Drosophila melanogaster: one gene and its partners. The protein of the gene in region 1 purifies or fractionates together with the protein of each later gene. This does not show direct contact. Each region holds a gene or a part of one and is shown in the gene's direction. Other genes may lie near its edges. The genes, in order: Trxr1, CG10638, CG4570 and CG14715.

What was found.
Region 2: the proteins of Trxr1 (region 1) and CG10638 purify together in Drosophila melanogaster (affinity purification with mass spectrometry, with the first as the bait; one large-scale study listed by BioGRID). This does not show direct contact.
Region 3: the proteins of Trxr1 (region 1) and CG4570 purify together in Drosophila melanogaster (affinity purification with mass spectrometry, with the first as the bait; one large-scale study listed by BioGRID). This does not show direct contact.
Region 4: the proteins of Trxr1 (region 1) and CG14715 purify together in Drosophila melanogaster (affinity purification with mass spectrometry, with the first as the bait; one large-scale study listed by BioGRID). This does not show direct contact.

The regions. Positions count from the first base shown.
Region 1 is NC_004354.4:8,241,616-8,248,545, forward strand, and holds Trxr1 (thioredoxin reductase 1), read left to right. Parts: upstream 1-1,966; 5' UTR 1,967-2,113; coding exon 2,114-2,444; intron 2,445-2,573; exon of another isoform or gene 2,574-2,815; coding exon of another isoform or gene 2,816-2,882; intron 2,883-3,772; exon of another isoform or gene 3,773-4,011; coding exon of another isoform or gene 4,012-4,129; intron 4,130-4,478; coding exon 4,479-4,824; intron 4,825-4,894; coding exon 4,895-5,121; intron 5,122-5,192; coding exon 5,193-6,079; 3' UTR 6,080-6,418; downstream 6,419-6,930. Other genes in the region: sni (sniffer), read right to left, coding at 1-528, 590-641, 1,336-1,461. UniProt on the Drosophila melanogaster protein: Thioredoxin system is a major player in glutathione metabolism, due to the demonstrated absence of a glutathione reductase.
Region 2 is NT_037436.4:12,497,553-12,502,884, reverse strand, and holds CG10638 (uncharacterized protein), read left to right. Parts: upstream 1-1,573; 5' UTR 1,574-1,648; coding exon 1,649-1,720; intron 1,721-1,842; coding exon of another isoform or gene 1,843-2,010; intron 2,011-2,084; coding exon of another isoform or gene 2,085-2,254; intron 2,255-2,330; coding exon of another isoform or gene 2,331-2,673; exon of another isoform or gene 2,674-2,684; intron 2,685-2,732; coding exon of another isoform or gene 2,733-2,912; exon of another isoform or gene 2,913-3,084; intron 3,085-3,115; exon of another isoform or gene 3,116-3,283; intron 3,284-3,396; coding exon 3,397-3,564; intron 3,565-3,620; coding exon 3,621-4,136; intron 4,137-4,197; coding exon 4,198-4,395; 3' UTR 4,396-4,779; downstream 4,780-5,332. Other genes in the region: CG10646 (uncharacterized protein), read left to right, coding at 1-260; CG10681 (uncharacterized protein), read right to left, coding at 410-881, 938-1,104.
Region 3 is NT_033777.3:10,855,246-10,858,582, forward strand, and holds CG4570 (uncharacterized protein), read left to right. Parts: upstream 1-1,561; 5' UTR 1,562-1,772; coding exon 1,773-2,600; 3' UTR 2,601-2,821; downstream 2,822-3,337. Other genes in the region: CG4511 (uncharacterized protein), read left to right, coding at 49-522; CG14694 (uncharacterized protein), read right to left, coding at 2,975-3,236, 3,299-3,337.
Region 4 is NT_033777.3:11,672,312-11,675,478, forward strand, and holds CG14715 (uncharacterized protein), read left to right. Parts: upstream 1-1,909; 5' UTR 1,910-1,970; coding exon 1,971-2,117; intron 2,118-2,180; coding exon 2,181-2,450; 3' UTR 2,451-2,612; downstream 2,613-3,167. Other genes in the region: CG42327 (uncharacterized protein), read left to right, coding at 266-813, 917-1,151; CG18476 (uncharacterized protein), read right to left, coding at 2,644-3,167.

The DNA.
Region 1 (6,930 bases):
CGCCGTTCTGTTTCTCGCCCAGCTTGCTGATGGTCTGCACAATTTGTCCCGTGCTGGTGGGCACGTCCAAGGGGGCACTGGAGCCACCCATGTCGGTTTTCACCCAGCCAGGATGCAGACTGACGCACATGATGCGTTGCGGATACAGATCCACGCTCAACGACTTGGTGGCCGCATTCAAGGCCGACTTAGAGGTGCGATAGGCGTACATTCCGCCGTCCGTGTTGCCCTGGATGGAGCCAAGGATCGAGGACATGTTAATAATGGCGGCACGGCCCACGCCCATCGGCTGGGATTCGTTCGCTTTGGCTGCCTTCTTAAGGAGCGGCAGACACGCCTTGGCCAGCATGATGGGCACAACCGTGTTGGTCTGCAAGGTGTCGAGCAGCTCCTGCGATCGAACGGCCGTTATCCTGGCCGATTTGGGCGCTATGCCGGCATTGTTGAAGAGCACATTGAGGCCTTGGTCCTTGGTCACGCCCTCGATGTCGGCGACTAGCTTGTCATAGGCATCGAAATTTCTCAAATCTGCACGGAAAATATATTTATATGCGAGAGTGTTTAGCGGCTGGTAAAACATAATGCTTACCAATCTCAAGTATGTGTATGTTCGAGTGGTTCTTGGCTAGATCCTCCAGCTCCTGTGGGCCAAATTGGGAAAGACAAAATGTTTGAATAAGAAGCACATTATTAGTAAAAAAGCAGTTTATATATGAATAATTTTCCAGTTAAATTACTGTAATTTTTAGAGGCAAATTTGGTATTTCATGAGAGTTTAAATAGCGCGCCCAACGAGCGCGTTAGTGCCATAATAACCGATAGACGATAAGTGCTGCTGGTGTGACCGAACAATAGTCGGCCCAGCAATCGACAAGCCAATCGACGTCTCCCTTTCGCACGCTCGTACGAAAGTACAAAAGCTATTGCAAAAGTTGGCTCCGCTTATTCGTTTCGTGCTTTCGCGAGTGCCGAGAGCCGCTACAATACACGCTTAGCAGTTTTTACATTTCCGCTTCGACTACAACAACATTCACTACCCGCCGTTGATCCTTGTTTTCTGTCTGATTTACGTGGAGCACCTACCAACAAGCAACAAAATAATGGCGCCCGTGCAAGGTGAGTTTCACAGTTAATTCGATTCCAATTGAACCATTCAATTTATGCATGCCCATTTGGACGATTAAAAAGCGGTTTGTAGAAATAGTGGCTCTTGTGGATTGTTCGCGTAGCTTCTGTAGTTTCTGTAGCTCGACGGTTGTGAGTCACCGGTTTTGTTGGATTACTGGATTGTCTTAGTAGAGAGACAACGCAAAATAAGAAGAAAACATCTCTCACCTTTGCCTGCTCGCGATTCCGGCAGGTGGTAAATAGATGCTGCGGCGGCTGGGGAAGATTGAGCAGCGCCTTGACCAGGCCCAGACCCAATCCTCGATTGCAGCCGGTTATCAGGATGGAGTTCATGTTTTTTTTTTCCGAAGATCCGCGATCGAGTTGCTCGAAATCTTATCGCGTCGTACTTGAGATAAAACCAATAAAGGGCGGCACTACTATACGGGTTCCGTGTGTTCTGTGGATTTCACCAGACCCGCAGCCAGATCTTTCCGTGCTTATCAATCGACTTTATTGCCGTAACACAAGCGTGAAAATAGTGAAATGTTAGGAAAAATTTTGACGGCCGGCTGTTTCGTTCGGACAGCAGCAGTGTTACCAACCATCCGCGAGTTATCGATACACTTGCGCATTGCCAAACGTGCGTTTCGCACATTTCCAATTGGCAAAGGGCAGAACAACTGTTGTGATGTTCAAATCCCAAATGGAATTTCGCAATCCAATGGATGCTCCTTTATGGCAAATCCATTTTATCCCAAACATTCTCGTTTTTGCGGTACGCGCTCTTGCGCCCTCTCTCTTTCTCGCTGCTTCTGTTACGTAGCCGTTTATCGGCGCCTCTGCCTGCCCACCGCTTTCGCAGCATTCCCGGCCGAACCAGCGAACGTGTTTGTGTTGTGTGTTCCGCCGTCATTTTTCTGCACCCTTTTCGCGAATAGTTTCGTTTCGCCTCCAGCTGGTAGAGTGAAACGCCAAACGTTGAAGAAGGGGAAAGGCCAACAAGATGAACTTGTGCAATTCGAGATTCTCCGTTACGTTCGTGCGGCAGTGCTCGACGATTTTAACGTCTCCTTCGGCTGGCATTATACAAAACAGAGGCTCACTGACAACAAAGGTTCCCCATTGGATTTCCAGTAGTCTCAGCTGTGCCCATCACACGTTTCAGCGAACTATGAACTTGACGGGACAGCGAGGATCACGCGACAGTACTGGAGCTACCGGTGGGAATGCTCCAGCCGGATCCGGTGCCGGCGCACCACCACCCTTCCAGCATCCACATTGCGACAGGGCGGCCATGTACGCGCAACCGGTGCGAAAGATGAGCACCAAAGGAGGTGAGCATCGATATCGATTGATATTCTGATTAGATCTTTGCTGTTGCCGCCGCAGCTGCTGCTCCTGTTGCCGCCGGTTGGCAACGCGGTCGATTGTCGCGGTTTTCTTGCTTGTTGTTTTTTCTGGGTCTTCTTGTGTTTAACCGACGCCATTATGCAATAACCGTTAGTTGCCTGGCCAAAAAGTCCATTACTCTGCTCTTATTACCTGGCTTATCGGGTTTCTGCGGCACGTATTCGCCAAGGGTTTATATGCCTGCCCGGCATTTGCTGTCTCACATTTGCACCGTCATCGTCAATCGTCATCGCGCACCCGCTCCAACTGGAATTGTACAGTCGGGGTCGCGCGAACAGCACTCGAAACTCGTATCATGCTGAAGTACATGATTTGCGCCATCGTTGTGGGCGCCAAAAAGAGCACATCCTCTAAGTATAATGGTCAACAAAGTTCTGAATCGCGTATAAATACTATGTCAGTCGAATTTTTTTAATTGAATTATGGATTGCTCATAAAACCATTACTCAATTGCAGCTTAAACAATATCAGTTATTTGCCTCAAAAAAGAATTACATCATATGACTTAACGAATTAATAATATTTGTTAAATTACATTCATACAAGTCACTTGTATTGCCATTTTGCCTTTAGCTGGTAAAAAAAAACTAATATCTATTTATATGAAGTTAAACGTATTTGATGTTTTAATTTGTAATATAATATAAATCCCACATGCCACGATCAAGTTTTCTTGTTAAATGAATAATTAGCCAATCGAGCAGATACGAAGCTTCTAATTCCGAAAACAATAGAAGAATTTACTTATAAATATATGCCATATTCTGATTTCAAATGGTAATTAAGGGTATAATAGGATTTCTTAAAGCACCAACGTGATATGTGTGATTTTTGTCGAATGCGGTGCTCTTGAACGAATAACCCTTTGCGGAATGTTCGAGAATCGCTTTATGATGATGATGATGATGATTTCACCATATCAGTCGGGTGCATTTATTCCCTTTATCTGTGTTTTCTATTTCGTATCTCTCGTATCCGTCGCTCAACGAGCGCCCGCCATCGTCTTTGATCTTTCATCATCATTGCTGAGCTGCGTCATCACCACTTCATTCCGCAATTAATTGCAGTGTGACGACAACAATTGTTTATTTGCACTCGCATTCGTACGTAGCCACCTGATTTCCCCCTGTTCCTGGCCAGGATTAGCATTCCGTCCGATAAAAGCGAATTGTGTGTGGTGTTGCCAACTAGTTTTGGGGCGTAACCATGACAAAGTCCGGCGGGTCAAAGCAAACCGAATGGGGGGGCGTAGGTGGACGGACGGAAGAAAGGCGTGGCCGGGCTGGGATGGGCGTGGCTTGGTGTGTGGCGATGTCGCTAGATGATTGCTCCACTTTGATTCGAACTCCCACTGACCCAGTGGCATGTGTGGCATTCGGCAGCACTATCGCTACCTGGCAACTGAAGCCAAGGAGCTCGACGGGATTGCACGGTGCAGATTACGGATTGCAGGAGGCCAAACAGTCTTCGTTCCGCACTTCTTTGGTCTGGATGCATCTGTTCGAATTCATACCGGCTTCCCAGTTGGTCGAGGGTGAACCACGCCACCGGAGGAGCATCTACCGATCCGCCTATCTGGACATACGACTGCGCGAGGAGTCCACCAAAGGCAGGCGGGGATTAGCCATAATCATGAGTGAAGCTAAAGAGAAACTTGAGTAGTTGGCACCACATGGCTAATTGATATCATTACCTATCACTGATAAGGATTTTCAACTAATCTAGATACTGGTTAAGAACAAAAACAGACCATGCCAATACAACATGGCTATTGATGTTACTAACGGTGATAAGTTTTTAATAATACAAGGTGAATTGGCTGTGCTACGATTAGATTTCCTGACGGCTCCTCATGTTCTGTGACCTCTTGACCTCTTTAAGCCCAATTTTGGCAGTAGATTACATATTTCTATAGACAAAAGGCGATGAATCAAACGAAAACCTTTTTTCTCCTGCAGGATCCTACGACTACGACCTTATTGTGATTGGAGGCGGCTCAGCTGGCCTGGCCTGCGCCAAGGAGGCAGTCCTCAATGGAGCCCGTGTGGCCTGTCTGGATTTCGTTAAGCCCACGCCCACTCTGGGCACCAAGTGGGGCGTTGGCGGCACCTGCGTGAACGTGGGCTGCATTCCCAAGAAGCTGATGCACCAGGCCTCCCTTCTGGGCGAGGCTGTCCATGAGGCGGCCGCCTACGGCTGGAACGTGGACGAAAAGATCAAGCCAGACTGGCACAAGCTGGTGCAGTCCGTACAGAACCACATCAAGTCCGTCAACTGGGTGACCCGTGTGGATCTGCGCGACAAGTAAGTGTGACTATATCTATGGCTTCCGCTCGAGCATCCCCACTAATTATACCCTTCTATTTGCGCTCAGGAAAGTGGAGTACATCAATGGACTGGGCTCCTTCGTGGACTCGCACACACTGCTGGCCAAGCTGAAGAGCGGCGAGCGCACAATCACCGCCCAGACCTTCGTCATTGCCGTTGGCGGCCGACCACGTTATCCGGATATTCCCGGTGCTGTCGAGTATGGCATCACCAGCGATGATCTGTTCAGTTTGGACCGCGAGCCCGGCAAGACCCTGGTGGTGGGAGCTGGCTGTAAGTAGCTACTTTCATTTGCTTACATCAAATTGATGAATAACCCATTCGGTTTCTGCTCTTTCACTCAGACATTGGCTTGGAGTGCGCTGGATTCCTGAAGGGTCTCGGCTACGAGCCCACTGTGATGGTGCGTTCTATTGTGCTGCGTGGCTTCGACCAGCAGATGGCCGAGCTGGTGGCAGCCTCGATGGAGGAGCGTGGCATTCCCTTCCTCCGCAAGACGGTGCCGCTGTCCGTGGAAAAGCAGGATGATGGCAAGCTGCTCGTGAAGTACAAGAACGTGGAGACCGGCGAGGAGGCCGAGGATGTTTACGACACCGTTCTGTGGGCCATCGGCCGCAAGGGTCTGGTGGACGATCTGAACCTGCCCAATGCCGGCGTGACTGTGCAGAAGGACAAGATTCCAGTGGACTCCCAGGAGGCTACCAATGTGGCAAACATCTACGCTGTCGGCGATATCATCTATGGCAAGCCAGAGCTGACGCCCGTCGCCGTTTTGGCTGGCCGTTTGCTGGCCCGCCGCCTGTACGGAGGATCTACCCAGCGCATGGACTACAAGGATGTGGCCACCACCGTTTTCACGCCCCTGGAGTACGCCTGCGTCGGCCTGAGCGAGGAGGATGCCGTCAAGCAGTTCGGAGCCGATGAGATCGAGGTGTTCCACGGCTACTACAAGCCCACGGAGTTCTTCATTCCCCAGAAGAGCGTGCGCTACTGCTACTTGAAGGCTGTGGCCGAGCGCCATGGTGACCAGCGCGTCTATGGACTGCACTATATTGGCCCGGTGGCCGGTGAGGTTATCCAGGGATTCGCTGCCGCTTTGAAGTCTGGCCTGACTATTAACACGCTGATCAACACCGTGGGCATCCATCCCACTACCGCCGAAGAATTCACCCGGCTGGCCATCACCAAGCGCTCCGGACTGGACCCCACGCCGGCCAGCTGCTGCAGCTAAAGCGGGAACGCAGCTCAGCCGCCTGGGACGTGTCGAAGCCGCTTGCTCCACCCGAAATCCCGTAGATGAATGGTTGTTGTCGCGGCCCAGCGATCGATGAGTTCAATAGTTCCGTTTCGTTTCCACAATTAACACCCAACACAATAGCTCTGCGCAAGGGAGGGGCACTGGGCAGCGATGGCGGGTGGAACGACACCAGTGGAACTACCCGCGCGACCAGCCCAACCCACGACTGCTGCGCCGCCGACATGCACTCAAAATTTTGAATTTGTTTGAACCTATGAAATTAACTATGAAATCCCCTAAATGTACGGTTGAAGAATATAATTTTTCACCAACAAACCCCTCTGTGTTTCAGTTCTGTGCATTTCCTTTAAAACATACCTCGACCTTTAGCCCTTCCTCTGCCTTTTCAATCAAGTAAGTTCATTAGCCATGCAAATGGCTTGACTTGACCTGGCTAAATCGATTCTGTCTGCCAGCCTGACAACTTGTTAGCCACCCGACTAATTGCTAATGCCATTGCTAGGGGAATCTTTGCCCTCGAGGGCTATAAATCAGCTACGAACGATGGCACCCTGGAGATACATATATCAGTGGGTAATAAATTATACTTTAGTTTTCAAAGGAAAAACAGTGCGTGATAAAGTGTAATAGAAGCTACGAAAAGGTTGAAGTTTATGACCTAAGGAATCCTCGCAAGCAAATCAAAATCAAATTAAGACAGTAAATTGATGCAATCAATTAATGAACAGCAAAGAGAATTCAATAGCTTCTATAAGGAATTAGCATTAATCATATATGTATGTATGGAACACTTTCGAGGTGGTATCTCCGATTGGATGCCACGA
Region 2 (5,332 bases), on another chromosome or scaffold:
TCACGTGTGCGGGATCGGTTAGTTCGGAGACGCAGGTTCAGGCTGGACTAGATGAGTCCAACTTCAGTGGTGCCGATGCCGAGGAGAGGCACAAACTCTTGCCAGATGGTCTGCTGCAGACCTTCGATCAGCACGAGGACTCCGTTTACTGCGCGGAGTGGAGCAATGTGGATCCGTGGATCTTTGCTTCGCTCAGCTACGATGGTCGCGTCATAATCTCAAAGGTGCCCAAGCAGTACAAGTACCAGATTATATTTTAAGCCATTAGTTTCTTAAATTATTACGCATATTTCATTTAAATCTAACTAAACGAATTGTGTCCTTGTATGTAGTAGCAGGTTATACAAATATTAAACCAATAAGTTATTATATGAAGATAAATATATCGAGGGACTAAAGCTAATTAGGCTTAACCTGTATCCTCGGATGTGCAGTCGGAGGAATCATTGGGATTGGCAGTTTCCACGGAACAAACTCGCTTGATCAGCTCGTTTTCGATCTCCACAGTGCCATTGTCCACTGCCTCCTCCATCTGCACGTACTCTATGGTGGCGGCACTTTTCTTGGTGGATAGGACAGGTTTTGCGGCAGCAGGAGCAGGTGTTTCTGCAGTCTTTTTAGCCTGGGCTTCCGTATCATCCTCGGCTTCCTCAGCCAAACTGCTACGCTGCGGCTGAACTTCGGCGTAAATGGCGGGAAACTGCGACTGTAGCTTCTGCTTGATGATCCGTATCTTGCGGAATATGTAATCCAGATCCTTCTTCATTTCGCTCAGGCATTTCACGTGTCTTTTGAAATCCTCGCTGGCACTTTTCAAACGACTCTGCGATAAGGCATTGCAGTTGAGCAGCATCTCGTTGGTTTTCTCAAAGCGTTGCAGCCTGTGGGATATATTTTGGATGTTTATTATAATCTCTGGTTAAATGAAATGGCTTACATTTGCTTTTGAGCCCGTATCATGGTCTCCACATCGCCCTGATTCACCATTCCTGCGAGACTTTGAATGAAGGCCTCGGCGGCGGAGTTGCCGAAGCCAGTGAAGGATTCCAGGTCAGGAGTGGCATCCTCGGACTGGTGCACATCCGCAAGGCCCAAGTGGCTCATTGTAGCCTAGAATTTATTTGTTTATAATAAGGGAGAACACAAAAATTGATTTGTTTACTTGCTTTTCAAGGTCTCAAGGTTTCTTTGCGACAACTTGAACTCTGCTTTGTGTGCGTTTGCTGGCAGTTTTAGTTTTTTCTATTTTTATTTACGTTTTCAAATGGATCTCATGTTTCCATCTATTTTAAAAGTTCTTTTGTTTAGATTTCTTAAAAAAAAAGATATTTTCGTAACAGCTGTTTAAGTACTAGTTATAAACCAGTGCTGCAAGCTGCCAAAATGCAAAAGCACTGCCGTAATTAAATTTGAACATTTTACTTTTTAACATAAAATTAACACTGTTTTATGACAACATTTGTTCCTATTTAATATAAATCAAAGTTTCTTTAGCTATTTAAACACTTAAAAATATTTAAATAATAAAGCTTAGCAGAATGGCATTGGGTATTTTTACGCAAAGCCGTTTTGGTCACACTATGCTCACCGGCTTTTTTTTTATTAAGCGATTGAATTTCCTTATTTATTCTTGATTTAAACGTGCAAAATGAAGCTCGCTCCGACTGTTAAGCTAAACAATGGCTACGAGATGCCAATTCTGGGCCTAGGAACCTACAATGTAAGTCCTTATCATCGGCGATGCTAATAAATCAGCAGGCAGAAATTGTTTATGGAAATTTCTACCATTCAATTCCAATTAAGTGCAATTGTGAAATTGAAAGTTAATTATGTTATCTGTAGTTAAAGAAGTCTCGCTGTGAGGCTGCCGTGTGCCACGCCCTCGAAATGGGCTATCGGCATATAGACACCGCATATCTGTACAGGAATGAAGGCATTATAGGCAAGGTTTTAGCTAAACTTATTGGCGACCAGAAACTGAAACGCGAACAGGTGTTTCTGGTCACAAAGGTAGGATATAGTACAGATGGGTTATATATAGTTACCAGCACATGTAAATAGATCGAAAATCAATATCCAATTAGCTGTGGGACATATACCACGAACCCAAGATGGTGAAATACGCCTGTGATATGCAATTAAAGCTACTGGGCGTGGACTATATAGATCTATATCTGATGCATTCGCCGGTGGGCGTGGACTACATCTCTGATGAAGATCTGATGCCCCACGAGAATGGCCAGCTGAGGACCAAGTGAGTTTGGGATACAACTAAACATACATAGTTTAGATTCAAGAAGCTTAAAGAAACTGATCTTTGGAACTTATAGCGATGTGGACTATGTGGACACCTACAGAAGTATGGAGCAACTGGTGCATCTGGGGCTGGTGCGCAGCTTGGGATTGTCCAACTTTAATGCCAATCAGCTGAAGAGATTACTGGAAAACTGCCAAATCAAGCCGGCAAACCTACAAATAGAATGTCATCCGGAATTGGTGCAAGTCCCATTAATTGAGCTCTGTAAATTTCACAATATCACCGTGGTTGCCTATTCGCCACTGGGGCGTCCCAAAGCCTGCAATCCGCTGCCCGATTACTACACTGATTCCAAGCTACTGGCGTTGGCAGCGAAATACGGCAAGACACCAGCTCAAATCATCCTAAGATACTTGGTATAAACGACCTTAGAATTGTAAAGTGATAAAGATATTTATTGGCTAAAAATCTACAGATCGATATTGGCACGGTACCTATTCCAAAAGCTGCCCAGCGAGCCCATCTCGTAGAGAATCTGGATATATTTGATTTCCACCTAACGCCGGAGGAGTTGCTCCAAATGAAGACCTTTAATACAGGGCGCAGAATCTGGAAATTCGATAAAGCGAAGAATCATCAGTACTATCCGTACTAGCAAGAGATATTTAGTGTTCGGAAAAAAAGTGTAACTATGTAAATGTATAAGATAGAATCTCGTTAGATAGTTTAGTTTTTACGTTAGTTTTTTTTTAGTACAATATTACAATGTTATAAAATGTCATCATATCAATCGTTATCATATATAAATATACTATATTTTGTGCTAGATATGATCCTATTAACATTTTAAGTGCTCACCTGGGGAAATAATTATTTGTATCTCTCTAAATGTCTCTATCAAAGTTTATCGAATCTTTCGTGTGCCTTGCGACGTTGATCAGTTGTATAATTTCGGATATTGTTTCGATTTGTCAATTCGCGGCTCTCCGATATGCTCACAATTTCCTGGCCGAAACGAACGTGTTGCTGTGGTCGAAAATAACAATATACTGATCTCAAGAGTCGCATTATAAAACACATATTTGATTCTGTCAGAAAGGAGAAAGGTTAATGATGAATTTGATATTCTCTATTTGCAGTCGAAGGACAACGAAGGCGAAGCCGCTGTGAAACATGCGATTGATGTGGGCTATCGTCATATAGATACGGCCTATTTCTACCAAAACGAGGCCGAAGTGGGCAAGGCGATTCGGGACAAGATCGCAGAAGGTGTGGTCAAGCGAGAGGATATATTTTTGGTCACTAAGGTAAATGCCATGATGATATGTTCTAGATCTATCAATAAGATTATATTTTTGCGCAGCTTTGGAACATTTTCCACGATCCAGAGCGCGTTGAGGGCATTTGCCGCAAGCAGTTAAGCAATTTTGGCTTGGACTATATCGATCTGTATCTGATGCATATGCCAGTGGGCTACAAATATGTAGATGACAACACCCTGCTGCCCAAAAATGAGGACGATGTGCTCCAACTGAGCGATGTCGACTATCTGGATACGTACAAAGCCATGGAAAAGCTGGTAAAACTGGGCCTGGTGCGCAGCATCGGAGTATCCAACTTCAACAGCGAGCAGCTGGCACGAGTTTTGGCCAACTGCGAGATCAAACCCGTCACTAACCAGGTGGAGTGCTCGCCTGCGCTCAACCAGAAGGCTTTGACAGCCTTCTGCAAGAAGAACGACGTCACCTTGACGGGCTACACGCCTTTGGGAAAGCCCAAGCCGGATATTCAGAAGCCGGACTTTATCTATTCGCCGGAGGTGGCTGTTATTGCCAAAAAATATGGCAAGACTACACCGCAGATTGTGCTGCGTTACCTGGTAATTGAGGCATCAACCTGACCTCAGCGACAGCATCTAATTAAAATCTCTCTTTTCGCAGGTTGGTCTGGGTGTCATTCCCATTCCAAAGTCATCGAATACTAACCGAATTTCTGAGAACTTCGATATCTTCGATTTTGAGCTGACAGCCGAGGAAATGGCCGTTCTCGATGGTTATCACACTGGCGAACGGGTGGTGCCATTAAATTTGATTAAGGGCCTCAACCACAAGTACTACCCCTTTTCAATTGAGTTTTAAACCAGATGAGCGCCTTGTTGCTGTATCACGAATATAATGTAATAAATTTGTCATTACATCAATCTCTATGACAACAAATTGAATGCACGAATGTATCTGCATACTTATTCCAAACCCAAATCCAACACAAAGCTCTTAGTGCCTTGATGTTCTCCATGAAATCCGTCCAGTTGCCAACGATCCGATCCGCACCCCACCGTGGAACTTATTCCCAGAAATGAGGAGCAAATGGAAGCATCGATCTTTGGCACGGCACGTTTGACATCCAAGCTAAAAGGTGAAAATGTTTGAATAAGACCGAAATATTAAGTATTAAGCTTTTACGACCAATGGTAATGCGAAGTGCTCAAACTTGGAGATCACCAATGGAGATTCAAATTTAAGTTACATGTGGAAAAAACTGTATACCTGCATTATTTCAATCATTTCAATAGTTGTTCAGCTTAGACATTGATTAATGAACTAGTGATATTTTTAGAAGGTGCTTCAAGCTTTTCTACAGTAACTTTAGATATAGAAAATAGAAAAAAGTTTAGTAAGTAAATAAGACGTAAAAAAGCATATGGATTTAAGATGGATATGTGATTTAAAAAACGTTCTTTTAGAAGAACTTGTGCTGATTGCCAGCTGTTAGCCTAAATTGCTACATCAATTTTAAGGACGCATTTTTTGTTTGCCAACATTCTCTTATCAATGGATCTTCTATTCTGATGTATGGCCAAAAAATATCACGCGGAAGCTATTAGTTGCGCCAACCGCAGAAATGAAGCATGAAAGTATTATGGCTATTAGTTGATGTACCTATTACGCCCGACAGGCTAATTATCTTTGGATTGTTGGGTACATTTTGGGTTAATCGCGCCGCCGTAGACCTTTGTAAATAGCACCTCGGCCTGTGGGGTGACGTCAGAGCCAGCCAAGATGAGCACGGGCTGAA
Region 3 (3,337 bases), on another chromosome or scaffold:
GTTAGCGCAACAATCTCATTAATCCCCAAAATTGCTAATCTTTTCCAGGGTCATGGCACCTACACCGAGCTGGCCGACGAAAAAGAGTTCTTCGAGATGTCGAAAAAGTCGCCCAACATTGTTTGCCACTTTTACCGCGACAGCACCGAGCGCTGCAAGATCGTGGACATGCACCTGAAGATCCTCGCGGCCAAGCACGTGGAGGCCAAGTTTTGCAAGGTGAATGCCGAAAAGACTCCATTCCTCACCCAGCGACTGCGCATCAAGGTGATACCCACCATCGCCCTGGTGAAGGACAGCAAGACCAAGGACTTCATTGTCGGATTCACCGATCTGGGCAACTGCGACGACTTCGCCACCGAAATGCTGGAGTGGCGCATCGCCCACTCGGGGGCCATTGACTACAAGGGCGATCTGATGCAGCCACCAGATGTGAAACGCAAACCATTCATCAACCGCCCACAGAAGACAATACGTGGAGGCTACGACTCGGATGACTCCGATATAGATCTGGATGACTAACTACGGGCAGTCCATCCCACACTCTCGATTACCCAAGCTCCAGCTTTCGTTCCACACTCCCACACAAGATACACTCAAAAGCGATGGAGTAACAAAAACGGACACACACAAATCAAAACCTAGCACATGGATCTAAACCAATTAGGCGTACTCTAGCGTTATTTATTTAATTATACGATTCCGATCCCTCTGCTACGGTCCCATCGCCACCTAGTGTAAGTGGCTAATTCGGTTGCCTTCCCCCCCGATTATGTGCTTTAATATCTATCAGTTCAATCAGCTGCCTCGAAGGCTGCGCCACTCTAGCGAGCTTAAGCGAACTCAAAATTTGATCTTTATGGTATTTGCAATTCCAAATGAATGTGCACCCTTTGCGTATATATGTTAAGTTGAGCATAGTTTTACAAACTGCCCTCGCCCTCCAGAAAACGGTGTACGTAAAACAAGAAACTAACATACACAGAGCATAAAAGACAAGAAACTAAATATCTGGCATATATATATTTTTAAAATTTCGATAAAAGGTGTATTGCATTTCCTACAGTAGAGGTAACTAACACTTACATATGTACAAGTTTTTATATTTATTTTTGTAATTCTACAAAGCATCAAAGGAAATCAACGATTAAATAGCATGTTCAAAACAATTGCAAGCGCTTGGTAATTGGTTGTAAACTTAAATGGTTCCCACACAGGTTTTTTGCATTTCAGATCGTACTCTTGGTAATATTTTATTTAAATCATACACGGGAAAGGCAGCTTTTTATTAAAATATGACTTTTTAACAAAAAGACTAGAATTTCTTTAAGAACTTATTATTTTCATCATTTATCGATATTATTAAACCTTACTTGGAAAACACAGAACTGATCATCGGGTTAAATAGTTTTGAATGAAATAATCCTGAAATAATAGGTTTGAACAAACTACGCTGCAGTTAAAGTAATGGTATTTCCCCGAACAGCTGATCATGAGATTCCGAAAATCCTCCCTTAACACAAGGGTTGCCAGTCTTGCCGCAGACGAATAACGGAATGGCCGCCAAAGACAAAAAGGGACGCCAACTGAATTTACCTGTAATGACGCCGTAATCCCGCCAATTGCAGCTTGCTCGCCATAAAACTACGGTCCAGACTATCGTCAAAATCGGTGCAAAAACTTTTACCTGCCAGGTGCATAAAACGCCCATCGAGGATTCGATTTACCATCATTGGTATTGTGAAACTCGAGGTGTACAGAAGTGATTCGAAATGGTTCTCGCTCCCGAAGTTCGAAGTATTGTGAAGGCGCTGAAGGGCTCGAACAGCTGTGAGGAGATAGCCCAGATCCTGGAGTGCGACGTGGAGAGCGTGATAAGCTGCATTCGTGAGTGTGAGCTGCTCGAGGGGAAGACTGCCACGCTGAGGTTGCCGCAAAAACTGAAAACAGCGGCGCCCGTGGCGGTTGCGCAGGAGGAGGAAAAGAAGCGCGATGTTGGCAGACCCAAGGTCCTGGAGAACCGGCAAATTGTCGAGCAAATGCTGAGCGACAATCCGCACTACACCTCCATCGATGTGCAGCGGGAGTTGGCCCGACACGGCATAGAGGTCAGCCGCAGGACCTTGCAGCGCAGGATCAGCGAGATTCGCTCCAAAGGCATACGGCAACCGAGAGGATCGCCACAGCCGAAGGAGCCCAGCACTTTCGGCCTCAGTGAGGGGGCGAAAAAAAGGAGGTTGGCCTGGGCCACCGCCCATCAGGATTGGACCGTGCGCGACTGGCGCAACATCTTCAACATGGACGATCTTAAATTCGTCGACGAATCAACGCCGCCAAAGGAGATCTTCCTTGACTCGCTGATGGGACCGGAGGGCAGTGTCTGCAATGACCTCAATCTCCTCGAGCAATTGATGGCCATCATCCAGCCGAGGATTCAGAATCAGGCGCCCAAAAATGTCAGCGAGTTTCGAGCCGTCTTGTACGACGTCTGGCACAGCGACCAGGACATGGTGGACAAAATTGAGATGCTCTACGAGTCGATGACGTGGCGGGTCTCAGCGGTCCTCCGCAACGGCGGGGATCAGACCGAGTTCTGCTAGCCAAGCTGTGGATTCCAATCGCACCCTGATTCTTGAATGTTGTATTGAAAATAACGACGTTCATGATCTTGTTTAATTTGACATATTATTAAGTTTGTAGTGGCCATATAATGTACATGGTACACTCTGATTAGATTCGCGGCGTAGGATTAAATATCTTCATTTTTTGAAACTATAACTATAAAAAAACATATACATTTTAATAAAGTGTAAAACAATATAATATCAACGATGTTTCAACAGCTTGGGAAATATTTCTTAAAAGTAATAATGTTTCAGAATACAAGCCAATTATTATTTTATTAAACAAACTTTAAATATGTATAACAATTTTATTTGATAAATGAACACTTTTTCATCATTAGAGTATGTTGTTAATTCGCCTCCTGAATTGCTTTTGGTTTCTTCGAAATTGACCATATATATTGCAATATAACAGCAATAGAATAGACTATTCCAATAACTATAAAATAGAATGCGTAGACGGAAAACTGTTGAAAAACATTCAAATTCAGATTGGCCTTTTCCGAGACGACGACAAATGTGAGGATGCACTGCAGGAGGAGTCCCACGAACGTGTTGAAACCAAACACCAGAGCGAAGCTATCCTCCTCCAAGCTGCTGGCCAACTCCGAGCTATAAGGTATTACGAGATTTGGTAAATTTCACCTGTTGGAAAAGGATCAAGAACTGCTTACCTGGCCACTGTTATGGTGAAGGCAAACAGGCCTCCATAC
Region 4 (3,167 bases), on another chromosome or scaffold:
CTAAGCATGTCGAGATTCAAGCAGCAGAGGTCTGTTGTGCGATTTTATGGTATCGTTTATCTGAGAGGCGCGCGTAGCTGATCGCCAGTCATTGTGTGGGCAGGGGTAGAGTTAAGCCGCAATCGGTTTTAATTGATGGTTATGTCATTACTCAACCTCGCGTCGTCTTTTTGCCGAAAAACGCTAGATAGCTTCAAATTCAAATAATACTAGTATGCTATCCAATGGAAAGACATCATTTTGATACCTTTTTTAATCACTTCAGGGCCCGAGGGATGCACCCAACTACTACATAGCCTGCCAGGCGCCGCTGGAGAGCACGACCAGCGATTTCTGGCGCATGATCTGGGAACAGCAGTCGCGGGTGATCATCCAGGCGACGGATCTCAGTGAGAACGGAATTGAGAGGTGCGCCGAGTACCTGCCACCGTCGGCGACTCTGGACAATCATAGCAGCTATGGCGATTACCAGGTGACCCTCAAGCATCGCGAAGTCAAGGATCGCTATGCCATTTCCACATTGGTTCTGAAGCGAGTGGATGGCGAGGAGAGCCGTGAGCTCACCCACTACTGGTACAAATGGCCTGAGGCGGGTGTACCGGCCGAGGAGGCGCCCATCATCGCCATGCTGCTGGAAGCGCGATCCTCGCTGAAGTCCTACTCCCTTGAGCAGGCCAACGAGCTGCGCGAGAAGTCCGCGACCCTGGAGACGTCAATGGATGCGGACGGCAGCAAAGCCGAGGCGGGCAGCACGTCCAGCCACGAGATTAATGGAAACATCTCAAGTCGAAGCGGAACACGAAGTCAGCAGGGGTAGGTTGACATAATCTCCATCCATTCATATCAAAGCAGTTGTTGTGTGTTGCATGGCTTTTTAATGTTCTGTGTCTTAACTTCTTCATCTCTCCCCCTGCAGACCGCTAACCGTTCACTGTTCTCCAGGCACGGGACGAACCGGTACCATTATAGCGTCGGACATGGCCATCCGCAGTCTGGAAACACCGAAGCGGTCCGTGGACATCCCCCAACTGGTTTACTACGTGCGACGCGGACGTGCCAGCGCCGTACAGACCAAGGAGCAGTATGAATTTATCTACAAGGTGGCCAGCATGTATGCGGCCAAGATCACAAATCTGTCCAATGACAACTGAAAGCCAGATGGCAGTGTTAGCGGCAGAGCCCATCGAGTGGAAACCGAATTTGCGATTGAGTTCACCTTTCACCCTTACAGCACTGATCAATGGGACCCTTTGTAATAATAGTAGCTATGTTTTATACGAAATATTAGTGTAAATTAGTATTATGCTTGAATGTTGGCACCTAATTAAGCGTAGGCTTCGTTGTATGTCGGGCTTTAAATATCATTTAAATTGTATGTATTCCTTTATTATTGTGATATAATCGTACATTCGTATATCTCCTGATAATCTGTTGCATATTTATAATGTCAATTTTTGTTTTTGCACTGTCACGCGCTTCGGGGCCATATAATCCGGAGCAAATGATCATTATTTGGAGCTCTCCTTGTTTTAAGAAAGTCAAATATGTAATCAAACAATGTGTGTATCTATTTTAAATGAGCTTTAATGTACGTAAGTTATTTTTAAGTCCGAGCTGTACTATACTCATATTATTGTAAATTACAAGAAAAAATATGTCCAGCAGTGGTTTTTGAAGTTTTAAATTTCGCGGGCTTCGCATTTAAGTGAGACCTTTTTTGATTGGGTTTTAACTATGAACCGATACTACTGCACTTCTGATCTTTCTCTTATTTACATAAAATTTCTTTTGGTTACTAATTTTTTCAAAGTTAAAAAAAAAAAACAAGTTTTAATCTCTTAATTTCGTTGAAAACTATTTGAGTTGTTATATTTATTTGGTTTTATGTGTGCAGTGGGAACAAGTTAAATTATTGTAGATCTCTGGTCACACTAAACCGCGAGTGTTTTTTGATACTGGCTTTCGATAAGATGAAGTTAACTTATATTTTGTTAATCTGCGCTTTTGTGGCCGCCTCCGCTGCCAGCGATCCGAAAGTGAAGATTGGCATTAAGAAGCGGGTGGAGAACTGCACCCGGAAGGCCAAGGGCGGCGATCTCGTCCACGTGCACTACAGAGTAAGGGAAATCAGATAAGGAAGATCTCTAGCCGACCTAACCCCGAATTTGGAATCATTCTAGGGAGCACTGCAGGATGGAACAGAGTTCGATAGCAGCTACTCCCGCGGCACTCCCTTCTCCTTTACCCTGGGAGCTCGGCAGGTGATCAAGGGCTGGGATCAGGGAATCCTTGGTATGTGTGAGGGTGAGCAGCGAAAGCTGACGATTCCGCCTGAGCTGGGATACGGAGCCAGTGGAGCGGGTGGCGGAAAGATTCCCCCCAATGCGGTGCTCGTCTTCGATACGGAGTTGGTAAAAATCGAACCGCGCTCTGGATCTGAAGAGCTGTAAAGCGAATAGGGCCACAAATAGGCATTCCATGCTACACCCAAAGTTTACTTTCAACTAAAGTCATAAACATTTAATGCTCAAATATTTAAAGTAGTAATTTGTCTTGTTTCTGAAGTGATGCCACGCCACGACCAATAAATAATAATGTCATTCCTTTTATACTAGACCAAATTGTATTTATTGCAAGAGCCCCTTACTTTTGGCGTCTCAGCCACGCTTCCACCTCGTCGAAGTGACGCCGCATCAACCGATGCTTCTCCAGCGTGCTGCTCTGGATGAAGCGCTCGCCACAGGTGCCGCACACGAAAGGACATTCGCCGGTGTGCTGCTGGAGATGAAGCTTCAGGTCCTTGGCCTGACGGTAACTCTTCTCGCAGTAGGTGCATTTGTGCGGCTTTAGGCCGCTGTGCGTAAGCATATGGCGCTTGAGCTTATCGGAGCGGGCAAAGTCCTTGCCACAGACGGTGCAGTGGAATGGCTTCTCGCCGGTGTGCATCCGGCGGTGCGAGGCCAGCTCTGAGTGGCGGGGAAAGGCCATTTCGCACAGATCGCACTTGAAGGGCTTCTCGCCAGTGTGGCGTCGCATATGGGTCACAAGAGCGGCGGCTGATCTCGTCTCCATTCCGCACAGGGAGCAGAGGAAGCGCTTAATTGCCTCCTTGCGCTTGCGGTCGCCGTTAATGTGCACATCGCGAATATGATTGTTCAGGCGCGACT